Linked DNA regions of Medicago truncatula. Each later gene encodes a partner of the first gene's protein in a complex. Links are inferred from orthologs where the notes say so. Each region holds a gene or a part of one and is shown on either strand. Other genes may lie near its edges.

Region 1 (3,759 bases):
AATAAAAACTAGTGATAATATAACTGACCATAAGCCCCATATCATATAGCCAACTTGCACTACACTCCCAAGTTCCAACAGTGTACAATCTTAGTCCTAAATTTGCTACAACAACTGGAACCCTGTCACAACCCACAAGGACAAAAGAGACAGAGGAAAGAGAAGTTCAGTAGATGAGGACAAGAACCAGAACCCGGGGAGAGGTTAACAACAAAGTCAAAGAAGTTACAAAGCTCACCTCAACGTCATCATCATATTATCAACAGCCTATAAACACTTATTGGCTGTAAATTGTAACAGAATCAGTTGACCTTATATAAATTGGAAAGGCCACTAGATTTGCACTCAATCAACCTCTCACATGATGATTGCTTCCTTTAAAATTCATAGAGAACTAGAATAGTAGATGATAAAATGATAGATTGGGTCGGGATGTGCCAAAATTAATACTCAATGCAAAAGGGAACGCAATTTGGCTAGTTTATAAAATTTCCTTATCAAAGTTAACAAATCTCATGCAGCCAACGTTGCAAAGTGCAAAATCAGGAGGTATCAATTAAAGAAAACAGGTATCATTAACTCTTCTCTGAGCCATGTTCATTCACAAGAGTATGTTGTCTTTGTGTATTATACATATACAAACATATATCTCACTATCATATTCAATTTACTTGTGGCTTAACTGTTCGCCAGCACTACGTCCAACATAATACAACACAACAAGTAATGAGTAACCCAATTGATGAAACTGGGCAACGTGTTTATCAAATTTAATAAGAAATATATATGTGTTAATTGTTATCGCTAAAATAGTGAATTAGAATTGAGAAACAAAATATAAAATAAAAAACAAGTATAAATAAATCAGACACACGGAAAGAATGTGGGGATGGATAATGTGACAAAATCGTACATTGGACAAGGCCAGTCATTGGGACCAAATAGTCCTGCAGTTGCACCAGCTGGACGGCCAATACCCCCTGCATCTGGCCCAGAACGTCCCCTGCCACGGCCACCTCCTCCTGCAACGCCAGAAGCACCAGCAGGGCGTGCACTTCCACAGCGATTACACGCACCCCGAAAAGCAAAATTCACATTCGAGCAACTGCTATGACAAAAAAAAAAGTGTTATTCTTTCTGCAAAAAACTATGACTGAAACAATGTGTAAAAGAGCAAGAAAGAGCTGCTCACCGATCTCATATCACAGACCTTGTATTCGGACACATCCAATCGCCCTCTTGTTGCCATGGTTTGCTGGAAGCATCAATTTGACCTCTGCCTCTTCCATTAACACCATCGACATCACTTTCAGTTTCCTCTGGTCCGACATCAGTACCCGCAACAACCGGTTCTGCTATTGCAGTATATGTTTGGTCATCCTTGTTTTTTGACTCCGCTATATAAACTCCAATTGTATTGCCATGAAAATCTTTGTTGTTAAACCACTCAACAGCAGCCACGGCAGCATGTGGATCCTCATATGTCACAGTAGCATCTCCCTTTGGTTCATTAGTCTCTTTGTCATGATATAACCATATTTTAGGTCTCCCTGTACGTTTATCTTTCTGCAAAACATGGATTGTGAATGAAAAATGAATGATAATCTGGAAATAGAACGCAACACAGAAAAACAGAACCGCATAAATAGGAAATCAAAATGCAACAAAAAAAAAAACAAATCAATCATTCAGTAATCCCAAATAAACCTCACTTTGCAAGGACAGACAAAAAAAACATTCAAGTAATCACATCTTACATAGAAATATGAATTTCCAAACTGACCATAATAAAGTCACAAACATTACCAACACGTTCTGGTAGTTATATTCCTAAATCCTGTAAAATTTCCTTTCCTTGAAAAATAAAATTGGAGAATAACATAGCATTGTTTTGAATCGAAGGATAGTTGCAGACTCCATACCTTTATTACTCCAATGGTGCCAAAATATTCAGCCAACATATTATCGTCAGTCCCATAAGGCAAGTTGCAAACATAGATAGATCCATTAGAAGGAGCAAATTTTCCAGGAATGCTTGCCATCGAATCTCAATATCATGAAATAAAAGGCAATGAGAACCAGCACAGAGCTCTGAGAAAACAAACAAATGCACGTCACTTCTTTTAACAGTGTAAAAACTAAATACAATATTGTAAAAGAAGCAAGATACTTGACACCAGTATTGTCAATTGCGGTTCGCGGAAAATAGTGATTTAATCAGATTCCGCTATGCGATAATGTTATAGCTTCTTTATAACAGCTATTTGACATTTTGTACTAAATAGCATGCGAACACTACATAATTGTTTGGACTGACTTATTTGAGCTTATCAACTGACATAAGCACTTGTGAAACCGTATGAAAATGCTAACCTAATTGAATAAGACTATGGATGCAAATCATAAGAAAAACGAATCTATATCACTTTTATAAGTTCAAAATTGAATGCGGAAGCTGCAAATATCATAGGTTTAAGTGACAAATTGAAAAAATAATTGTTGTACGATAATGCAAAATATGCAATAGGAAATGAAAGAGATAACAAATGAAGTAATCTAGCAATTTGAAAGAGGAACGAAGATAATTTGATTAAATAAACGAAATTACTGCAATTCAATTCTTATACAGGAAAATGGAATGAAGAAACGAAGAGGGGAAAGAAGAGTTAACCAGAATCGAAGAAGCGCGTGAGGGAGAGAAGTACGCACGCGCTCTGCTATGTTCTCTTCTTCTCCGATGAATAGATAGATCTGTGATTTATCGCTCCGTCTGCAGTATCCCCCTCCTCGCTAATTTCTCTTCGTTTTAATTTATTCGCGTTCCTTTTTATTTCGCCTATAGCAAACAGCTTATCCCTACGGCCATTCTCCTTTTTTTTTTCTTTTTTTTTTTTTGTTACTTTCAGCAATTTCTTTTACTTAGGTCAGATAAATAATAAATTCAGAATCATGTTTTTTTTTTATTACATGAAAAAAGAGAAAAACAAAACAGCAGCTACGTCGTTGAAATGGACACACGCTTAAACCATCCGCTAACAAGGTTTGAAAATAAGTTTGGTAATGGTTCATAGTCCATAATATATGACGGAGAGAGATAAAAAATGGTGTGTTGGTAAAAATAAGATATAAGCTGGTTGATAGTTGAAAATTTAGTTTATAGTTTTTTTTTTTTTAAGGGAAAAATTTAGTTTATAGTTAATTACTGATAACTTGTAACTGAAAATATAGCCTATTAAAATTAAAATGTTTGGTAAAATGACTGGTAAATATAAAATGACATATTTGTTTATTTTTATTTCTTTATAAAAAAAAATTTGATTACATGATTTTTTTTTTTTTAATATTTCAAATTATGGAAGATGATAAATGTATTTTATGAATTTTATTTAACTATGCTAGTTAAACATGAAAATTTTAAAAGCTAACTTTTTGAATTCTCCTACCAAATTTTCATTCTCCTACCAATTTTTACTCGTCCTCCCCTAGCAATTATAAAGAGAATTGATATTTCAAAAAAAAAAAATAAGGACTATTGATATTTTTACATTAAAATGTTATTCACATTTTGTATAGAACATAATTCTGGATTTTATTTAATTGTGTATTTTTAATTTCATTCCATGATGATCTACTAATGTTTGCACTTAAGTCTTTTCAATAGAAGTAGATAAAAAAGAAGTCTCTTACAAGTGTATATATATACTTTGTGGAAGAATATCAAAATAGTAGCACCACAGGCTTAAAGAAGATATAGAAGAA
Region 2 (3,470 bases), on another chromosome or scaffold:
TTAATAATGTGTTGTGTTTTGAAGTTGCCTCTTCGGCGATGGTTGCTTTGATTAATTCGGAGATTGCTCCATCCTCTCCTCTCCAATTCATTCTAGATGAAGTTCTGACGTCTAGATTGGGATCATTCGGTGTATCTTGTCAACCGCAAGTTTAATAAATGTGTTGATTTTATTACTTCGTCGAGACATAATTCCTCTTTTATTTATGTATTGTTGATAATTCCTCCATGTGTAGCCACTAAACTTCTAATTTAGTTGTGAAGTAGATAATTTATGTTTTTAGGCCTCACTTGAACATTGTCATTTCAAAGTTTGGTTTAATGTTTTCATTATATTGAAGTACCGTTGATCCTTTGAATTTTAGTGCTTCATACCAATTATTATTGGAAACCTTCAACACTAAACTATAAACTTCAACGTAACTTTTAATAGTATCTAAAACATACAATAACCCAGTAAATAAACTCATTTATCAAACACCTGTTTTAGCCAAACATGTTTACAAACTAATCAAATACAATATAAGCCAACAGATGATAAATACTAAACATAACTTAAATCGAGTATGACGCATTTGCTTTGTACAATGACACGGTGACAGAACATTAAAACGCAATAGCTTAAAAAACAAATGGTTAATCTTATTCTCATATATATGCTGGGTAAATTAGGACCTTAAAGGCAGTTGCACAATAAAAAATGGTGTTAAAATACAACAAATGATGTACCAAAATGCACAATGTGGGATAACAAATCAATTGCAGCCCATCTTATTCCTCTAAACGGGATTCAAATTCAACAGCACATGATTATACATAGTGAATGCCAACAAAACACCTTTCTGATACTCTTTTATGATTGATTCATTTCTAAAAAGGTGGGTATATTTTTCAAAAGTGAGACAACCAAATCAACTATTAAAAAAAAAAAAGTCTAAATCATAAAGAGTGTTCAAGAACATGTCAAGAAAGGTGTTGCAAGCATTCATCTGATATAAATGCTCCTTGGTAGCTAGCTAATATCGGTTAAACTGAGTCATCAGAGTCATCAGAGTCACTCCTGTCAGCATCCCCAGCGTTTGTATGAGTCTCTGGAACATCATTCTTTGATGCGGATGTAGCTGCAGGTTTTTTATTAGCACCTCGAGCATTCTCACCACCTTCTTGCTCAGCTACTTCCACATGTGAATCTCAGTCAAGAAAATAGCCAAAGGTTGTTTACAATTAACAATATAATGAAAGCAAAACACTTGCTTTTGTCATTGATGCAAATGCAAATGCAAATAGATACTACAAGCTATGCCATGAACCCCAGGTCAGATAGAGAAATGAGTTATCAGGGCAAAGAAAGTAATCGACAAAAAAATCTCAACAGACCTCCATTTCAAAGAATTTTTTTAAAGTGAAATCGTAAATTTGAATCTAAGACTTAGAATGTTTACTAAACAACTGCTTAAAACAAACAAGATGAAAGGATATCAATATTTTCAGCCGTTCCTCCAGCAATGATTTTGAGAAGATCTTTCTCAACACGAGAGACAAGCTCAGGCTGGAAAACGAAGAATGAAAACACATGGTAAGTAAGGGACACACAAACGCACAGATAATAGAGCGGCATCAGGTATGCTAAGATAATGCAAGCACATATGAATATGTTACATTAAGGTCAGGCTCTCTGCGGAATCTACGCTTACGGGCATCTCTCATGGGAGGGGTGAGACCATGTCGATACTCAATTACATCTGGAGCAGCATCACCAGATTCCCTCACCATAATCATCTGTTAATTGAATTCATTAAGAAGGCAATCAGTTATTTAATCATCCAAATCTAGGAGTATGATTAAGAATAAACAAATAATATGAATTAACGATAGATACCTGACCTGACCAATATCAGCAGTCTTAACCAAAGAGTTATCATCATAAGTCTTGTAAGATTCAACGACAGCAGGAAGGTCCAGCAGAGAAGCTGGGAAATGCTCATCCCCAATCACAAACGTTCCGCTTCTTCCATCATCGCTAAATTGCAAATCTAGCGACTTGTCTTCAGATGAAGAAGCATTGTTTTCATTCAAAAGACGCTCAATCCGCTCCGCAACATTAGGTGGAACTCTAAGTATGAATTGCTCCTCCATATCTAATTCCATCAGGTTGTTTTTAGAATCATTACAAATAGTAAATAATAATATAATCAAATTGAATTGAATTGAAGAATCGGGCATTGCAATTGATTGGTTTCATAACTGCATCAGTATATACCAATAATCAATGATAATCAGCATTCATGAGACAATTCCAATGGATTTTCAAATGAAATTTCACAAACAATAAAAGATCAAAATTGATTGGAAAAACAAAAACAACAAAAAAAAAAGGATTTTTATTACGAGCACGATATCGTGAAGTCTTTAATCAGTGATTTTATCTTGAACTGAGGCCCATGGATTTTTAAAATTGATTTATTACGAGCATGATTACATTGAATGTTTCCGAAATAACTTACAAAAATCAAAAATTGATTGAGGGCTTTCGAAGAAGAGATGATAAGAAACAATTTGATCGGTTCAATTTTGGAAGATGAGGTCTGTGGCAGCCGGAATTCGAAAGTGACGATGGCGCTAGGGTTTTCGGATTGGAAGGATTTGCGAGAGAAGAGAGAGAAAAAGATGAAGCAAATGAAGGGGATTGAAGAAAACACGTGGCTTTGGTTTGGGTCAGATTCATCATTCATCCAACGGATGCTATTGTTGTCTTCTCTAGGATGAGCTTATAACCGTTGGATCTAAGTTTAAAGGAAAAAGTAACAATTAAGGGTATTTTTGTTAGCTAATTTTCCCAAAAAATAATTTAGAGATTATTTTATAAAGATATTATGAAAAAACAGAATCAATTTGTTTGTTTTTTTTAATAATTCAGTTTATTTGGATATAGCAGTGTATAAAAGAGAGTTTACAGTTTTGTTTTTTTTTTTGCAAGAACCTTGTAAATAAGGATTTTTTTACGTTATACCTCAATGAATTGGAGGTAATTTATCCCTTTTAAAGAAAAATCTTTTTTATTTTTTTTTCGATCAAGATATTTTTATATCTAGAACATCAATGATATTTTTACTTTTTTTTTTTTTTTAAAGAAGTTAAATTAATCCACCTAAATTAACACTGGAGATAATTGTTGCAAAGGGTGAAAGGAAACATTGAAGAGTGAAGGAAGATGAGGGCTTCATTGAGATTTACCGGAAGAAAAAAAAAAAAAAAAAAAGACCGGTTCAAACTACGGAAGTGATCATCGAAAAGATATCAGAAAAACGAACGTCCTATTTCTCTTTAATTTGAGTTATTTATTTTGGGGTTAAATATGTTTTTGGTCCCTATAAATATACCAACTTTTCGTTTTAGTCCCTTTAAAATTTTCCTTCAACTTTTAGTCCCTATAAAATTTTCAATCACTACTTTTGGTCCATCTTTTAAAGT

What was found.
Region 2: transcription initiation factor TFIID subunit 15 (region 1) and transcription initiation factor TFIID subunit 7 share a complex: the UniProt entries of both Arabidopsis thaliana proteins name them as parts of the TFIID complex. The link is inferred for Medicago truncatula from reciprocal best matches to the Arabidopsis thaliana genes TAF15 and TAF7.

The regions. Positions count from the first base shown.
Region 1 is NC_053045.1:36,236,725-36,240,483, reverse strand, and holds the start of transcription initiation factor TFIID subunit 15, read right to left. Parts: upstream 2,869-3,759; 5' UTR 2,672-2,868; intron 2,092-2,671; 5' UTR 2,043-2,091; coding exon 1,923-2,042; intron 1,567-1,922; coding exon 1,211-1,566; intron 1,106-1,210; coding exon 914-1,105; intron 1-913. UniProt on the Arabidopsis thaliana protein: TAFs are components of the transcription factor IID (TFIID) complex that is essential for mediating regulation of RNA polymerase transcription.
Region 2 is NC_053044.1:41,304,629-41,308,098, reverse strand, and holds transcription initiation factor TFIID subunit 7, read right to left. Parts: upstream 2,699-3,470; 5' UTR 2,504-2,698; intron 2,138-2,503; 5' UTR 2,136-2,137; coding exon 1,884-2,135; intron 1,779-1,883; coding exon 1,659-1,778; intron 1,549-1,658; coding exon 1,479-1,548; intron 1,184-1,478; coding exon 1,026-1,183; 3' UTR 621-1,025; downstream 1-620. UniProt on the Arabidopsis thaliana protein: TAFs are components of the transcription factor IID (TFIID) complex that is essential for mediating regulation of RNA polymerase transcription.